Drosophila melanogaster: one gene and its partners. The protein of the gene in region 1 interacts with the protein of each later gene in a biochemical or structural test. Each region holds a gene or a part of one and is shown in the gene's direction. Other genes may lie near its edges.

Region 1 (7,072 bases):
AATATTTAAATAAACCAATAGCCTGTTGTTTCATATTTAAGTGATAAAATACAAAAATGTACTTTTAGCTTCCCTTGAAATTGAGAAAACGTGCAAACATTGTATATAATCCACACCTTTTATATTTCCTTGATCCTTTAAGTAAGCAATCAACTTGGGCCAATCTTGATGAGCCCGCCTTAAAAGTCCAAAGGAATTTAGGGGATTGGACACATATTTATATCGATCCACCTTGTGATCCAAATAATTCGGAGTTAAAGAATTAATAAAACTATGTGAAAGTTAAAGTGTAATTCTAGTTTTAAGAGAGGAATTAAAATATATATCATACATTCTGAGAGTTTTGATTTTTTGTTGCAGAAAGCTAACATAGTTGTTTAAATGCTCCATATAGGAATTCTCAATCTCGCGAAGTTCAGACAGGGCTCGAATGGAATTTGAGTATATTACTTCCTGTACTACATCATTTTCGGCTTTCTTTGCTTTGCAAACTGTGAATAGGAATAATAAAATCCAGTTCAGCAGAATATAATGAAATGATCTTAGCAACATTCTGCTGCGAAAACTATATTTTTTCATTTCCTAACGAAGATACTACATTTTAAATTGATTTATATCGCTTATTCGTCAGGCCTATTTTAAATGCTGCGGTGATTGATACACTTAAGTTACACATATACACTGTTTGTATATTTAGCTTAATATAATTTAGTATTTCCCTAACAAGCCTCATAGAACATATTTCATGAGTGATTCTTGTTTCAAAAAATAGTTGTAAATTCGCTTACTTCTTTTAACAGCGCTACACAACACTATAACTTTTAGCAAAGTTATACACCGCCATAATTTTATTGTTAGGTAACATCGGAGTTGTAAACCATTTCTGTTTGCTTTTTCGAAATTTGATTTCGAGTTTCTACACAGTTAGCCAAGACACATACTTTTCATGTGTAAGTAAAAGTAAGGAAAGTTTATTTGAAAGGCTTTATTATACATCAAGCAGAAACAATTTGAAATTATCGGCAGTTTTTTAAATAAATAATTTTTAAATAATGAAAAAGTATGTTAAATCCACTAAACTAACAATTCTTGAATTTAAGTCTATTTTAAAAATATACATAACTAGTCAAGGCAATCTAATGTACGTATTGCCATTCAGATACTCTAAAACGTAAGTTTATTTTGCTGACTAATCAAATTATGAAACAAAGGTAGGATTTATCAATCACTTAGACTTCAAGATTGCATAAAAACACACTCAAATTTTAGCAAAATATTATTTAATTAAGACAGAGGCTCTGACTCAGAGGCCAGAATGAAGAAACGAAGAGAAACTTGCATGGGCCAGCAAAAGATGTGCCCCTAGGGAAAACAACAATCAAGCAAATTCCACGTGCTTATTATGATTATTGTTATCGCTATTGAAAAGCGCTAATTGTGCGCAAATAGCGGTGCGAACTTAATGCCAACTTACCGAGAAGCTCACACATGCAAACCAAGCCAGTTGGAAGTGCAAGCATCGCAGAAAAGCAGAGGAGCAGCAGCTGGAATCCGGAGGGATATGGGGGATACGGGTGAAAGTTGGGCAGAAGATGCGCGGCATTTCGGGGTTAATTAGAATGGTATTGGAGTTGGCCTTTATTCTCCGCCGCCCACAAAAAAATCACCAATAATGTGTCACTTTCCCCCGGCAACATGTCGTATACTTCATATCGTCACGTGCATATGAAAATATTACGTCGGGCGGTTTATGAATGAAACATTTACTATTGCACAGCACCGTCTTTCGGCTGCCGGGCACCTTGACTACTACTGGGCTACAACCATACCCACTAGACACACTAGAACCACCCAACCACCACCCACTACCTTCGCAAGGCCGCAGGACACATGCGCAACGCCAGTGCCGCATTTGAATTTTGAATATGAGTTTTGACACTTGATTATCAGTTCGCGACCAGTTGTACGGGTGTGCGGACGTTTGGCCACGGCAATCGGCGGAAAAAACTTCATCCGCAGAAGCGGAAAAAATACATTTGCGCTGTTGCGGCGGAAGTTGAACTTCGGCCATTTGGGCAGTGAAAGTGGCAGAGTTAAAAATTAAAGTGGGAAATCAGCAAATATTCAAAAGTTTCGCACCTTGATTGCGGTTGAGTTTTCGGCTATGGGAAGGCGATTGCCCAGCTTTTGGCTGCTGCTCCTGCAGAGCGTGTGTTTCAGCCAGGCCAGCTTTTCGGAGCTAAACAATTGTAAGTGGATCGAGGATGTGATTAACTAAAGGATAAATAAATCTGATTGCTAATAATGAAATTAGTCAGAAATATAAGATTTACTTTGAATGAAATGCATAACCCATTAAATATTAAATTAAACATTTTAAGGATAGTTTTTCTCGATTAATATGACGTTTTTTGAATGTTGTACAATTAAAAAGTATCCTGTTTACAAGCTGAACTTTTGTAACCCGCCAACACGAAATGATGAACCCAAAAGTGTACAGCTAATTGACTGCAAACTATCTAAAGCCGGAGTGGTAGCGTATAAAATGGAAGGTAGCTGGTAATCGGAAGTCCAACGAGTCCATAAGTGAATAAACTGTGGCCAACATATTCCCCAGACGGGACAGACAGGATGGCGGTGATAGGGAAAGGGAGCGGGCAGAGGGGTTTCCGGTGGAGAGCTGCGAAAGAGTAACGAGGGGTAACTTCCGCTGGGGAAAATGTGCGCCGAATAAAAAAAACAAAACAAATTTTCCTTGACTTTGGCGAGCCAAATGCGATAAATATATCAAAATTCGACAAAATTCGCATTTAAATCAATGTGCCAGATGCAAAGTAAACATAAATATTGGCAGGCTAGCCGCAGCGTGCGATAAGAAAGTGAGAAGTGGCTCAAAGGAGTGATGATGCACCGCACCGCACGATGTTCCGTGCCAACCAACCAACTCCCACCACCCACCACCCACCGCACAGCGGGCAGGCAGACAGACAGTCGCGGAAAGGCGACGTTTTCCCACTTCCTATTGCACTCTGCGATATTTTCGTTTCATTTTTTTTTCTATTCCTGGCCGGCGGTTTCTGCCGCTGAAGTGCCGCGTTTTTCGGTTGGCGGTTGCGGGTGTGGAACTGCCACTGCAGTGGGTTATTTCGCAGTTTTTACTTAACTTTTTGGCAGACATTGCGTGCTGATTGTGATTGTGATTCCTTTCGCCGGCAGACAGCTGGAGTGTCTAACAGGAGACAGGACATTCACTTTCCGTTTCAAGTTCAAGTGGCGTGGGGAAAGGACACGGCCGGATTTGCAGCGACTTCGCGGGGAAAATGCGGCTTAAGTCCTGGCCGAGCGATTCAAGCGATTCCAGCGATACAAGTCGTGCAAGAAAACAGGAAAATATATTTAACAACTCATAGTCAATTTCCCCTTATAAAATGTGGCAACAACAAAGGCGGTGCGGTGGCGAAAAAGTTAAATGCTAAATTACGCTACCTTGCAGACATAAATAAAAGAAGAAAAGTTTAACTATATGAACACACATGTATGAGTACACTCAGAATAATTTCAAAAGTAGAAATCAAAAGTAAGATATTATACATAATTACTTACCTTGTAGTTTTGTTAGCGTTTTATGTTCATTGCTCCTTTATGCATAAAAAATCTAATCAAAATCTGTTGATGCAAATATATTATTGAAATTTTTGTTTTTTTTATATTAGTTCTTTAGCTTATTATACTTTTATTTCCAGTGCAAAGTACGTTTGTGTTTTATGGCTTAAAAAGTCTCGCTCGTCCCTTTCTTCGGAATGTTTCAATATGCAAACATGCAATAACCAAATTGCAATACCAACAAAAACAGAAACCATATCAACTGAAGGCAGTCAAACAATGGCGCCTCGTTCCCCACACTCAGAGCAACTGAAGGCGGAGCCTTCGGACTCGGACTCCAAAAAAAAAGCGCCCAACTTGCGGCCAGACCCAAACATAATCGCAAATTATAGGCTCTATGGCATGGCATCCGTAGGCTACCCAATTTGATGCTAGTTTGGTGGATACCCCCCCCACACAACGCAATCAATTCGTGGTGGATGGGGGGGGTATACATAAAGGTGTAGCACAGCTTTTTACAATTTTCCAGGTACCAGCACCTGCTGCCCCCCAACCAACACACACACACATACCGCGCTCTATTAGATTTTTGCATTTTTTCGGGTTATTATTTGGTCATAATTGTAATTTAGGCGTTTGCTGGAACAGGAACAGTAGCTGGAACTGGATTCCTCGTCTCCTGGCCACAGAGTCGTGCTACTTGTTAGGCATGTGATGTGATTTCTTCCATTACTCCTGCCTCCAGCCCATTGTTGTGTTTGCGATGGTGTGGGTGGGTTCGGTTTGCGGTTGGAACTCTGGTGGTTAGATTGGCTGACGGCAACTGTCGAAGTCCTGCGGTCGGGCACCTTGACTCAAAATTATTGCGATGGGACTCGAGTTGGCCGAAGCAACAACACGCCGGAAAGCAGTAGTTTGAGTTCATAGTGTGTGAACCCAACGTGTTTATGCTATTATTTACGATAAAATCAAAACATAACTATCCCGCTGTTCAATATTATGTATGTACAATACATGAGGTACTATTTTTGAGTAAAAGTGCTCAGAAAAGAATCCATAACCAAATCATAGGTTTAAGATGATGTTCAAAACTATTGTTTCTATATATATATAATATAATCAACATATTTTACTGATTCAAAAATAGCTTCGTTTTGCTAGTTTTACAATTTGTTAGTGTTGAAGCTACTCTATTTTGCCAGAATGTAGCTGACATCTATAATTTATCTAATTATTGGATTATCTGCCGCTGTCTCGGCCTAATGTTAACCTCAAGAAATTTATGGCCGTTAAACAATTTTAAATATCGTTGACCATTTCGGCGGGCCATCTGGCAACAAACTTGGCCTAGTCTGCGTTGACATTCTGCAGAGACACGCAAAAATGTGCGAGGATAAGAAATGAAATAATTATCCTGATAATTGTGGATTAGAAAAGCTGCACATAAAAAAAGGTTATTTTTTAATTGAATTAAATGTTTGGCGTCTGAGTTCCATTAAAATACAGCAAATGCCAGTGCCTCACATTTGCAAGCCCCATAAACCACCCCAAAAGCCACCCAGCAGTTGTATATCGTCGCCCCATTTAGCGCCCTAATGATGAAAGCCATAAATGCCAAACCATTGGGCTTGGTGCCACCATCTTCCTTTGCAGCGGATCCCAAGTTCAGCGGTCCAATCAACAACTCAACAGTTCCCGTGGGACGGGATGCCCTACTCACGTGTGTTGTCCACGACCTGGTTAGCTTCAAGGTGGCCTGGCTGCGAGTGGACACGCAGACGATACTGAGCATCCAGAACCACGTCATCACCAAGAACCATCGCATCTCCATCTCCCACACGGAGCATCGGATCTGGCAGCTAAAAATACGCGATGTTCAGGAATCGGATCGCGGATGGTGAGTGAAAGTATCTATCAGATAGATGGACCATATTCTTCTACTAGCGTTTACCGTAGGTACATGTGCCAAATCAACACGGATCCCATGAAGAGCCAAATGGGCTACCTGGATGTGGTGGTGCCGCCAGACATTGTAGACTATCAAACCAGTCAGGATGTGGTTCGTTCCACGGGACAGAACGTAACACTCACTTGCAGTGCAACGGGAGTGCCCATGCCCACCATCACCTGGCGTCGCGAGGAAGCGACTCCGATACTGATTTCAGACGACGGCGATCGGGAAGTGTTCAGCGTGGAGGGTCAGAATCTCACCCTGTGGCAGGTGCAGCGCTCCCACATGGGCGCCTATCTCTGCATCGCCTCCAACGGAGTGCCACCCACAGTGAGCAAACGCGTCATGCTGGTGGTGAATTGTATGTGTGAACAAAGAGTTGGATTCAATATATAATACTGAGTTATCTTTCAGTTGCGCCCACGATCTGGACACGCTACGATACCATCTACGTGGGCCTGGGCCAGAAGCTGACGCTGGAGTGCATCACAGAATCGCAGCCGGCATCGGTGAACTTCTGGCTGAGGGATTCGCAATTGCTGCAAGGAGGTTCCTACGAGTCGGTCTCAGTGGACCACGTCTTCCGGATCGTGATGCGGATCACCCTGCGTCCAATAACGAAAAGAGATTTCGGAGAGTACATATGCAGGGCAAAGAATGCGATGGGTCAGACAGATCGGATTATAACCGTGCACCGTAAGTGAGATTATATTTCGGTTACTTAATCCCTTAGATGTAACAAATGTTGACCACCAGATAAGGCCAAGAAGCATGGACAGCACTCGCATCAAACTTCCTCCCGCGAAAGTCAGTTCATTGTCATCGAAGGTTTGTTTGTTCTACAATAAATAGAGTCGCGATAAAGATAACTAGCTAAATCTTATTGCAGAATACATCGCAAATATGTCTGATAAGAGCTGCAGTTTCCAACCGCTTTGGATAATGTTTCTATGTTTCGTCAATAAAGTGTCACTTTTGTGAGCAATCAAACAATGTGTGCTTTGTCTTTTGGCCACGTCTAATGAGTGACTTCATCTTTATATTGCCTAATTCACAATGTTATATTAATAATAATTTTGGTGACAATTGTTCGATTCAAGGGTAAAAGTAACGCACGTGTGAGCAAACTATTAAAAAAAAATCAATTAATTTGATTTTGATTCTGATCTTTTGTTTTGATTTTTACGTTCGGTTGACTGAATAAAATTGCTTTAGGACAACATTTACAATAATTTTTTTCTAAATAGTCTACAATTCGTTTAAGTTATTTACAATTGGATTCCTTAGTCAGATCAATTGAATATATCGATAGAATTCGATCCGCAACTTTACGCTTAACTTAGAGGAAATCGAACTAAGGAGACGTGTTCAACAGGTGTGTTAATATTTAAACATTAATATTTAGCTACTTCCCATCGGTTGCATCTGTTCCGTTTCTTTCGCAATAAATTAGTGAGTTAAGAATTAGATCTAGCTATGAGCGTGTCGAGGTAGGCTTAACAGTTTGTTAGTTGGATT
Region 2 (7,567 bases), on another chromosome or scaffold:
TAAAGTTCCTGTCCTCTTAGAACTGGTTGTAAAGTTTGTTCAACACCAACTTCTTTTAGCAATGTTTAAAAACCCATTCGAAACTTTATAGTCTCAAAAAAAAAAAAAAAGAGAATGTCAAAGCAGCTGAGTTATCACTGTTTATCAAAAGAAGACTACACGGAATGGCACTTGTCGTTCCACTCGAGAAGTTTCAGCGAAAGTGATCCTTTCATCGGACTGCTTTGAAATATTGAACTTAACATATTAAAGCATACTTTTCTGGGCAACTGGCAGCGTATCAAAAGTTATCGTGGCCCACAACCGCACTTTAAGCGCCTTACATTCTTGCAACAATTTCTGGTGACTTTCCCCCCTATATATAGTAAACATTTTTCATAATTCTGCACCCCTATTCACCGACAGCCAGCGATGAAAACAGAATTCACTTAGGGCTAAAAGAGATGGATGAGGGGCTGGCAAAATGTCGCCGCTTGTTAAATTTAAGGAATGTTTGGCTTGTTAGTGTAAAATAATATGAGCGACGTGGGTGGTCTATCCCAACTGAGGCGCCCGCTCGTCCTGTTGTCTATTTGATTCGCCAGGATATGCTAAAACAGGAGTAGGTGAGGAAGTCGAAGCACACGACGCGACGAAGAAAGAATTCCACTCAAATTGCATTTATTGGAGAAATATTTATAATAACTTGGAAATTCAATTTCCAAAGAAAATATGCTAAACGGATTTCAGGGGGGTACTGCAGTCGACGAGGGTGTGGAAAAGGCAGAAGGACTTTCCGAGGTGAGGATGCCAGTCTGCATGTGTGTGTGTGTGTATTCCAGTGGCTTGTCTCGTGTCAATGGCTCGTGTGTGTCGCCTGTCTGTGTGCGTGCAGAGAGATATGTTAGAAAATTAAAATCGACCATATGTTGCCTCATCGATTTTGATAAGTCGCCCAACGGCAGCACAGCAACATGAGCAACATGGGGCGCGGCATGAGTAGGGAGCAGCAGTAGCAGCAGCAACAGCACCATGGCCGCTTCATATCCGTTTCCGCTTTGACACAATGGGCGCACAATGCGTGGCACTCGAGTGCTGTGCGAGTGTGTGTGTGGTTGTCTGTTGCTGCCACTGCCACTTTCAATTGCAAAAAGCTGGCTTAAAAAGGCGCCTTGTCATGCATGAGTTTTCCGCCTTCTATTATTGATGTTGTTTTGTGTTTTTGTGTATCATTATTGCTGGTGCTGGTGCTCGCTGCTCCATTGTTGCTCCTTTCTTGTCGCCGGCCGATCTGCTGCTGTCTGCCGTTTGCGTGACACAAATCAAACGTACCCTACTAAATATTTCATAAGCACATTCAGCCACGCACCTCCAATGAACTTTAAGGACATGCAGGAGCAGGTCTTAACCCTCCGACAACCCACCCACGCCTCCTAATATGATACGATGGCTTACCATTCAATTTGGCTTCAATAAATGTTGCCGCAACATGTTGCTGTTGCGCCGGCGCAAGGACACTGCTTCTCCTGGAGATTTGCATATTGTTGGAGGATTCGCTGGAGCAGCTCCGTTCAGTTGTTTACCGCGCCTCAAGCCACACACACGCAACGAGCGCTGACAAACCGGAAACTCGGGGAACTGTGTCCCGTGACCCGTGAACTGCTACCCGTGACTCTGGGAAATCGCTAGCCGTGACTCGTGTTCGGCCTGCTCGGCTGGCTTTCGTATCTCGTATCTCGTATCTGGCGTCTCAATCGGAATCGGAATTGGAATTGGAATCGCGTCATTGGAGTGACTGATTTTGCGAATTGGTGGTGCTGGTGATGGTGCTGGAGTGTGTCGGAGTGTGTGGATGAGTGCTCCTTACGTAGCGTAAGGGCTGTTACGTAAGCCAAGGACCTGCTCGCTCCGCGGAAAAGGACACAAACGCAACGCGCTCGAATGCGTTACGTTGCGCATGAGATGGCGGCACGCAGTTCGCGCTACATTTACTTCGACCACGGCCACCGAATCTAGTCCGCTCATAGGAAAAGGTAGCTCCTCATTTGCGCTAGTCCCTCAGTTCCTCCTCCTTCTTTTTAGCTCCACGTCCCTGTCGAATATAATTAAGTGTATTATCAGAACGTGACCAGAGCGAAATTGCTGCCTGCGGGCGAGGTAAATGCTCCTGCTTTTCCTCATCCGTTGGCCAGAAGCAATTGAATGGACAGCTTAGTGTGTAATGAAGAAATTACCAAAAGCTCGAATCCAACCACCAGCCCCCCTCCACTTCCAGGATCCTTCTAACGACCCAACGGAAGGCACCCCCCATCCCCCTGCCAAACACTCGCAAGGACATCTTCATCTCGTTCTTGTCCTGTGGGCGTCATGGTGATTGAAAACTCGACCGCACTGCGGTCTTGTCATCAGTTTAAATGAATGTGCTGCGGTTTCCGGAGCACCGATAAGACGGAGCCCAGAGCCTAATCCCTTTCAGTTATTGTTTCTGCACAATTGTGGGCTAAAAAGTGGGCGGGGCTGGTGGCGAGTATCCTTCATCTTTAGCTTCATCTTTTGTGTGTTGCCTTTCGAGTCGATTTGAGTCGCTTCGGTTCGGTTCGAGTTGAATTGAGTAGAGTCGAGTTCTCCGCGATTGCCATCATTTATTTTAATTACTTTTCTGTTGTCGCCCTACCCACTTTGCTCCTGCTCTTCGCTGGTGGTCCTTCGTCCTGGCTGCAGTTATAAGTAATTCGAGAGCCCCACAAATTGCGCATGAAATGTTGGTGGAATACTTTATGGCGCTGCTCGTGATCATGGGATTAACCGCTCCAGTCGACAAGCAGAGCCGGCGCAGCAGCCAATACTTCGGTGAGTACGGATTTAAATCTAATCAGACAACACTCAAAGGGTTAAGCCAACCGGGGACTGGGCAGTCGTATCAGAAATGGCATAATAAATGAGAATCGCAGAGCGAATGGTATTGGGAATCGGAATCGGAAGTGGGGAATCGGGAAGCGCGAAGCAATCTAATTAGATTGAGGGATATGGCGGGGATTACAAGGGGTCACTGATCTCGCAGTTGGGGCAGAGGACACACTTTAAATACTCAACTGCTTAAGCGGTTAATGAAATTAAAAAACTAAATTGCTAATACCTTAATTAAAATTACTTTTAGATAGATTAAAGGAGTTAAAGTTAAAGGAGTTCAGATTAAAGGAGTTAAACGAGCACAACGATTATGACTTGAATAAAAGAAATTAACTCTTTTTTTCGCCATATTTGATTTATATTTGATTTATAATTTTTTGTGCAACATAAGCTTAAACGTAAAAAGCATGTTTTATTAAATTTCATACAATTAGTACTTTGTGAATTTGTATTTCCATTTTTTCATATTTCTCAAATCCCTCAACACATATTTGCCTATTAAATTACACTTATGGAAAGTAACTTTTCCGGTTAGTTATTTTTTCACACAGATGTTTTTTTTTTTTTAAGTTGCATACATGGTTTATTCATTTAAATCCTGCAAACTTTTAATGTGGTTTAATGTGGTTCAACACAAAGTTAAATTCCGCTTCGCTTTTTGCAACGGAAGGGAGCAAGCTGCCTAATGGATAACTGATCTCTAAAAGGGGATCCGAATTAGGTAATCTGCACTCGCAGCTGTCAGGAATTGTTTATGATCCCATCTATTTCGCATCTCTCTGCTGCGAGTGAATTTGATGCGGGACCCAGGAGCAGCTGCAATTGCTCATTTGTAATTTATGGCACCTGAACTCAGTTTAGGGCCCGCTTGGGGAACTGCAGCTAGGGATGATGGGGATATGGTGATGAAGGAAGAGCCGGAGGTTGTGGATGTGGATGTTGAGGTCCTGCAGAAGCGTTAGCCATGGCCACTGAAGCTGCGGTTGCGGTTCGACCCGGCAATTTTCCAACTTACCACCCCGCACTTTGTATGTAAATACGCAACTTTTATTAAAAAATTTTATGTTGTTACATATTTCCTGCCGTTGTGCGGGAACGTGTGTGCGAGGGAGTTTTTTTTTTTTATTTTGTGGCCAGCATAAAAAGCAATTTCAGTTCAAGTGCCTTGGCCTGGCCAAAAGCAAAAGCAAAAGCAACAGCCATAGCGAAAGCTAAAGCATCGTCATAGTCATCGGCTGCGGATCAACAGTTTCAATTAAGTGTTAAACGTCATTTTATTGCCTGATATTTGATAGCTAAATTTGCTCAACCACACTCGCACACAATATGGATCCTGGCCTATAAATCAATATGTGTTTATCCACTCCACATCCACATATCCACATAACCAATCGAGTAGTACCCAGTCCCTTCTCCTTCACATCCCACGCACAGCTGTATTTGTGTTTGTATTTGTTTAGGCACTCATGGATTATTAGCGCATTAGTTGGCTAATACATCGCCATTTGGGCGGTGGAGCTGCAGCAACAATAGCGCCAATAGCACCACCACCCACATAAATCACTTGGCCGCCCAGCGATGGATCATAAACGCGGGAATGGCTCCAAAGGGGTGTAGGCTTAAGCTCCGGCATAAATTAAGCACAAATACTCGTTAATCAAATGAATGCTGATTGCCAGCTGAGGCATCCCCGCCAGCTGATTGAGCCAACCAATCGACCATCCATCTGTCCGTTTGTCCGTCCGTCTGTCTGTCCGTCTGCATATCTATCTATTCATCTATCTATCTGCCAGTCTAACTGTCTATCTATCCGACGCTTCCTGTGTTCATCTGCCTGCCTGCCTCCTGGGCTCAGGTCCTGAAATGCACTTGAATACGTTTAGATTGACGTTCAGATACAACTGGTGGAATGAACTACCCAGGGAATATTTAATGGGCAGCTTGAATATCTAGGCCCTTTATGTACTAACAATATATATTGGCATAGATTCTGTTTCCGCGGGGATAAATTTGACGTTTAGAGGGTTATTCATATCCTTGGGTTCTTAAAACTTATTCAACTTATTCAACCTTTTAAATAATTATAATCTGTTTACTGTTTTACAGGCCATCTGGCCGCCGCCGAGGAATTGTCCAACTTGATACCAGATAATTACGATGCCATCGATCCCGTGTTTGACAACACAACAGATCGGGAGGTTATTGCAGCTTTGGGCACCACCGCCCGTCTCCACTGCCGCGTTCGCCACCTGGGCGACAGGGCGGTGTCCTGGATACGACAACGGGATCTCCACATCCTGACCATCGGCATCATGACCTACACGAACGATCAGCGCTTTCTGGCGCGGCACATCGACAACTCCGACGAGTGGGTGCTCAAGATCGTTTCGGTGCAGCAGAGAGATGCGGGCGTCTACGAGTGCCAGGTGTCCACGGAGCCCAAGATCAGTCTGGCCTACAAGCTGGTCGTCGTGAGTAAGTATCTTTCACTAAGAAGAGCTATGAACAAGACACTTGTCACTTTTGAGCAAATGAATATATCCAAAACTATATTTACTGATAATATCCTTGTGTTCATAACGAATCGAAGGGCTTCAAATAATTCTCTGTTGGTATGTACATACCACTAAACATTCCAAATCCATTTGAATCCGCTTAAGTTTGTTCCGAACCCTTTCATGACCCATCATAATTATTCAATCGAAATTCAGCCCCAAGTTCCTGTTTTATTACTCCCATTGAATCTCAATCGATTGGCGGTCTTGTAAGACGTTGCTTACATCTCCGTTTAGACAGCAGCGCAAGGGCGCGAAGGGCTGGGATTACTTTGACAAATTAGTTTATCAAACACCCCAGTACATCACACGACAAACTAGGATGGGGCATGGGAATAGGGATTGAGAAGTTGAGGGGTTGAGGGCTATGGATCCACCCAATAGGCAACTTGTTGACATACCCATTAATCGAAAACGACGCCGCTCTTTGACAGCCTCCAAGGCTCAGATCCTGGCCAACCGCGAGCTGTTCATCCAGAGTGGCAGCGACATCAATCTGACGTGCATCGCACCCCAGGCTCCAGGACCCTACACGCACATGCTGTGGCACAAGGACACGGAGCTGGTAAGCGACTCGGCGCGGGGTGGCATCCGCGTAGAGTCCGAGCAGCAGATGAAGACCAGCAACCTGGTGATATCGCGAGTCCAGCACACGGACTCGGGCAACTACACCTGCTCCGCGGACAACTCGAGTGAGTCCTTTAGAAATGCATGAACTGTTAGATTAAGGACACTAGGTGAATACATATGCGATTAAGGTGTGTGTGTCGAAAATTTAATTTAAATCCAATTAGTCCAAGATGGAACTGACAGTTTTACAACGAAAGTTCGATTTCATTAAATACTTAATTACATTTGAAACACGCCACCAACTGACTCGTATAAAATATTTACACATGCACATGACTATCGAAAAGTAGTTGCACATATAAACATCGTAAATTAACCATCAAATACTGAAAATCAAATTAATTCAATTGCTTACTTATTTATGGGTGTAGTATACATTGTGATCAGTTACAATGTAAAATATACAGATTTCACTTTATCCATAGCTACAAGGCATTAAGTTAATGGTGGCTTATTGCATAAAATAATATTCTATAATTGAGTTTACATATTGAATGCATATAAACTCAATTATGAAATTTTATTCGAAAATAGCAGTGCACATTTATTATTGTTATTTATTCAAGGAGATACAGTTTTTAAAAAATAACTAATGTTATTACAATAGCTAATAATACTCTTGCTAAAGCAGCCATACATTATACATTCAAATAATTGTTTTCACTGCTTTTCGTACAGAGTATGCCAGCTTTAATATTTAAATTCAGCCCTTTAATAAGTAACGACCTAAAATATTTATTTTACAATTTTCTAACCCACCCTTTTGCCACCTTTTCCCAACAGATTCTGACAGCGTCTTTGTGCATATCATTAAAAGTGAGCAGCACGCGGCCATGCAGCACGAGCTGGGCTCGAGGCTGCTCCTGCCCCCTCTGCCCCTGTTGCTCCTGGCGGTCCTGCTGGTCGTCCTGCTGGGCCCCACCTCCAGCCTCCAGATTCGCACCCCGCTCTCAACCCGCTAAGCCGAGCCAAAGACGAGCGGCAACTTATGTTCGATGTCTGGAGCCATGGGAGCCCCGTTATTCCTGGTGGCCGGGTAAGTCGGTGATTTTTAATGCCACCATCAGCTCAGGAGTCGTAGTCATCATCTCGTTACAGGCCACGCCTCCACGTCACAGTAACCGCCCACATTGGAGGAGCCCGGTAGAAATTGCTGGATGCGGAGGTTAACGACGTCGATGTCGCGTTGTCTTGTAAATATGTAAATTGAGTTTTTGTTTACGTTTGTGTTTGTGTTTTGTGGCTCAGTCTCTAAGTATTTTTATACGTAATTAAGTAAATAGGTGGAGAGAGCATATGTGCTGGCTAGGCTATATATAGTCAATCTTGGCTATGTGGCAAATGGGACATATACATTTTGTTCACACACGATCGCATACCTAGAGATACTAAAAACGAGCAATCGAATCCGAATCGAATCGAATCCGTAACGAATGTAAATAAATGTTTAATCTTAATAATAGATAGACGAGATCTAGATTAATTATGATAAA
Region 3 (4,734 bases), on another chromosome or scaffold:
AATGTGCCGCATCGCACGTCTTAATAGATTTTTGATTTGTTTGCCCACCCTTCTTAGCTGGTAACTCAGACTTCCCCATTCCGAACCCGGATCCATATCCGAATTCGAATCCAAATCCAATTGTGAGGCGGGCGTGCGTCTCTGATTGGAATAATGATTTCGCTGAAGCAAAGATAGAACATAAACCGAGCCAGATTTGTTGTTTTTTTTTTTTTTGTGGGGAGTAACTTGTTTTTGTCAATATAGAAAATCAATAACTGTTTTCGCCGCTACCGTTCGGTTAAATCAGACGAGGGTAATTCAATTAAGAAATCACACAGGAGGCCAGGAATTAGTAAAAATGGAACGCTCAAGGCTCCGCGAAATGGAGGATTAAAAGCGAGTCCTGAAAGTTGGCCATTTCTTTATTTCTGTCTATGATGAACAATGGGATGGTATTTGGGCAACATTTTACAAATTGTTTCAATTAAAAAGTTTACTGACTTTGCTTTTTCGCCTTTTACTTTATCTATAAGCGGCTTGCGATTGACACGTGCCTCCATCGCCACGCCCCCCCGACTGAACGCCTCCTTCGGTTATCGAATGGTAGTAATCGCTTTTTGGGGCCGCTAATTGCGGCGACCTTGATTGGTTGGGTGGTATTTATAAGTCCGCAAGTTGATTGCATAATACTGGCAATGTTTGGGCAGTGGGCCATAAGTCGTAAGCTGGGAAAGCCAAAAGCTGGGCCAATCAATTAAAAATAATCAGGCGGAAAAAGTTCTGGCCAATCTGCACAAATATATGTATATATTTCACAGTCGCTAATTAATTTAATTGATTTAAACGCTTCGGCTTGACCAATAGCAAGGCGAGGGGTTTGGGGGGTGTTATCGAGTGCATTTGATCTGTTTGTTTGCACAAAATTAAATTGACTTGTAATTAAAAGTTTCGCAATTGATTGAAATTCTCGTGTGTGCTTTTCCTTTGTGCTTTTGGGTGGCTGCGATGAGTCCCAGTACTAAGAACGCTTCAGGGAAATTCGCAGCAAATAAACAAAAAATAAGAAAAAGAAAAAAAAAAAAACACTAAAAAGTGCTAATTAGGAGCATTAATTAAAAATGCATTTTTTGTTTGCCGCTCAATTGAACTGCAGAGAACGTGGAACTGTAACAGTTTTCATACACTGGACATTTTCTCTTTAGGCCTGCGGAGTATAAGAGCGGCAGTATAAGAGTATCCCTAACTGACCTATGGCAGGATATTTTTGCGCGGTTTTCTTATTGTTTAGCAGCTTAAATGGTAGTGGGCATAATTAAATATTATATTAAAAACAAGAAGCAAGTTTCATTTATTAAGAAGTAGAACAATTTATTTCCTTTTATGATTTCCCTACATTTTAAAAGCAGAATGGTAAAACTAAGTCCCTAGAAAGTGGAATACAATACTAATATGTTAAAAAAAAGGTTTTATGAGTCTTAATAATAATTAAATAATTAGTAAAGGCTGTAATATAATTATTCATAAGCATTTTATTACAGTTGCAATAGTGCTTTATTACCTGAGACATTATATTCGATATAAACAAAGTTGCTTGGTAATTTCGTGCTCCAATAAGCCGACTGAAGAGAGCGGCTCTGCAGTTTTAGTTCTCTTTGCTCTTACATGTGAACAATATATATGCGAACTTGCCCGAGTGCCGAAGTTAGCCGAAGTCGAGGCGTTCGCCATGTGCCCGAGCGCCGATTACCAGTCAGTTCCATCCTGTGACTCGAAGGCGAAGCACGCGTTTCTTGATTTATGTGCGCGGGTTGTAGTCCCAGTTAAATCCTGTTCAGATATATTCCTCAGTGTTGAGGGTTTCGAAAAAGTGGGCCTAATGAGTGCCCGGGCCTTCGTGTTAATGGCGAATTAATGACGGGGCGATTAAAATGCAATAGCCACATGCATGGGGCGCCGTAATGAGCTGAACCGAGCGACTGAGTACAGTGAAACACAGTGCCATAAATTAGAGGCGCCCACAAAGTGTAGCCTACTGCTTAGCGGCTTTTGGGCTTACGATCTGTTTGAAGTGTTCGTAGACCGTTAAAACCTTTCGCACGCCCACAAAAAAAAAAGTTCTTGTGTAAAGCTCATTTCGCAGCAGATTAACAAAAAAGAAAAAAAAAACAAAACCAGAAAAAAAGGTCAACTCTCAGTGAAAACGAACCAAAAACAGGGCCAAGCGGAGAAAGTACTTTCATTGCTCCCCAGGCAGAGCTTAACCGAGAGTTTTGCCGGGCTCTAATTTGACGGAATCGTTAGTTGACCAGTGACGTTCCACCACCCGGGTGCACCCCCACCACACCGGAATCCGTTTCGCCGGATCCGGATCGCGTGCCAACTACAAGCGTAATAACAATAAACTTGCGGATAACAACCGCAGATACACAGATACAGATACAGATACAGCAGCACAATGTCCCTGCCATCCAGAGCCAATATCGGATTACTCAACTGGCTCATCGGCTGGCTGCTGCTGCTGTCGATGGTTTTGCTCAGAGGTGAGTTGTGCGTCGGGCTTTTTAATTAAATAATCCAATTTATTTTCATTTAATTTCTAATTAAATTTAATTTGTTTGCGCCGCGCTTTGGCCCACCTAATTGCCCCCATGCTCACCATGCCCACCACGCCCATCACGCCCACCATGCCCGTTGTAACCCAAAGACTTTCCTTTGTCGCCTAGGATTTCCCGTCTAATTTCCGGAAAACGAGCGATTTTCGCTGGCCTGGAAAGCGGGCGAATGCGAATTGAAAATTCTTTAATTTTTGTGCTAAGAATTTTAATTCCGCTACAGAGTCGGCAAAAGTTTTCCCTTTTGTCCCTGGCGCAAGTCAAAAGGTGAAGCATTTAATGCCCATCTGTGTGTGACTCCCAAAAAGTGGAGAACCAACAAAATGAAACATTATACAGAGGGAAAAACGAGTGCTCCCCCCGCATCTTGGTTTTAGAATATTTTTGTTTTTAATGCATATATTATATATGTATTTATACGAACTCTTCATGTTTTTTTTTGGGTTAAGATGAGTTAACAAAGTCAGCTAAAGTATATTTCTGTTAAATTATATAATATTACAAAATGTTTTAATATTGGATTTTGGATTGAATTTAACAACACTTTTAGAATATTCTACTTAAACTTTGTTTGAAGTAAGAACTTGAAATACTCACATTGTTATTGTACAATATTTAGTTTTATAGATACAATCACATACAAAAGTAGTTAGAAAATGTTTTAAAGGCTAGTCTACTATCATCTGCATTTAAAACTATTATTTACAGAAAAGCATATATGCAACTAAGTACTCCGGCTATTTGATTTTCCGTGCATTCGTGACCCACTCCTGTCCAGAGTTTTGCAGTCCTAGTTTCGCAGCCCACAAGGTTGGTCCAGTGACCAACTGAAGGGCAGGAGGATGAATGGCGAATGGCCGCATAGTGCGAGTGCGAATGCCACATGCAACGTGTGGGCTGGGCAAACGGTTTTATATAATAGTTTGCAACAGTGGGGCACAAGTCTCACTTTCAATGCATCAAATGAGAAGCACGCGCTTGTGATGCGCCGCGCCACAGAGATAGAAATGTGGGAAAATAAAAAGTAAATATGAAAAATAACACATACTAACGAGCGGCAGACACTTGGAAAATGCTGTTGAAGCTTGGTCATGGCCAAAATGCTTCTGGCTGCAGTTGCACTTGATGTTGTTGCCGCTTGCGCAGCAGCAGCAGCAGCTGCGTTGCATGTGGCACGTTGCAGTTGACACACGAAACTATTGCCATTGGGCTTGGCTTGGCTTTTTGGTTTTTCAGTTTTGGGGTTTAGCCGCCTGTTTGCTGCTTTTAAGTTTGCACTTTTTAGCTTTCAGCGGCTAGCAATTTTCTACTTTCCGTTTTCAGCTCGTCGTTTGTCATCTCTGAAAACAGTAAATTGCATTTTTATACAATTTTCCATCATTTGACTTGGCAGTTGTTCGTCTGGGCTTTGTAATTTTCAAATGAAATACTTTCCGAATGCAATTCGCTTTTGCGCAAATTGTTTCCTTCGTCCTGCTTTCCTTTGACTTGGCTGCTTCTTTGCCTTCTACCCGCCTATCTTGTTAGCCCATTGGCATCTGTCTGGCCATTTCATTTGGCTAAAAGCTACTTGAAGTTGGTTAAGCGCAGACAAACAGACGAAATAACTCATCTTGGCAATTGCAGAACCTGCAAAAAGGCAAGCAATCAAAAAAGATTCCTATCGAATTACTGGGCAACCGATTTTCCAAGGATTTTCTTTGGTCTGGGTTTTATTTGTTCTCTCACAAAGGTGATGATTATTACTTGTAATGATATATTGGAATTAAAATTATTTAATACAAAGTTTTTGGGCATAAAGATGGTTTAAGTTGATTGCAAAAGGCTAACAAGTCAAAATCTAAAATGTAATTTTTCACTACTTTAGCATGGACAACTTTGACAATTAGCCATATTCACTTTTTAAGTACCAATATTTTATAGTTAAATTTGCATATTATTATGCAGATTATTTTTATTTTTATTATATATATATGCATATTGGAATTTTTTGAGGCAAATTTTCGGCCGGCTGTTTGATTCTTTTTCTCAAATTAATTGACAGGGAAAAACTCGACAAATGCATGCGCATATTTCCATAATGAATTCATAAAACTTTCGATCGTGTCCTTTCGCGAGCTCGTGTTATTTGGTTTGTTGG

Evidence for each region.
Region 2: the proteins of DIP-iota (region 1) and dpr5 form a complex in vitro, tested with the Drosophila melanogaster proteins (one study listed by BioGRID).
Region 3: the proteins of DIP-iota (region 1) and dpr1 form a complex in vitro, tested with the Drosophila melanogaster proteins (one study listed by BioGRID).

Annotation. Positions count from the first base shown.
Region 1 is NT_033779.5:6,616,603-6,623,674, reverse strand, and holds DIP-iota (Dpr-interacting protein iota), read left to right. Parts: upstream 1-1,974; 5' UTR 1,975-2,164; coding exon 2,165-2,249; intron 2,250-4,228; exon of another isoform or gene 4,229-4,595; intron 4,596-5,256; coding exon 5,257-5,500; intron 5,501-5,559; coding exon 5,560-5,915; intron 5,916-5,968; coding exon 5,969-6,250; intron 6,251-6,310; coding exon 6,311-6,382; intron 6,383-6,443; coding exon 6,444-6,535; 3' UTR 6,536-6,541; downstream 6,542-7,072. Other genes in the region: CG34345 (uncharacterized protein), read right to left, coding at 117-271, 332-552.
Region 2 is NT_033777.3:11,498,417-11,505,983, forward strand, and holds dpr5 (defective proboscis extension response 5), read left to right. Parts: upstream 1-1,567; 5' UTR 1,568-1,936; coding exon 1,937-2,012; intron 2,013-2,653; exon of another isoform or gene 2,654-2,700; coding exon 2,701-2,829; intron 2,830-4,995; coding exon 4,996-5,364; intron 5,365-5,878; coding exon 5,879-6,136; intron 6,137-6,857; coding exon 6,858-7,036; 3' UTR 7,037-7,110; intron 7,111-7,172; 3' UTR 7,173-7,535; downstream 7,536-7,567.
Region 3 is NT_033778.4:20,696,749-20,701,482, forward strand, and holds the start of dpr1 (defective proboscis extension response 1), read left to right. Parts: upstream 1-1,734; 5' UTR 1,735-2,437; coding exon 2,438-2,522; intron 2,523-4,734.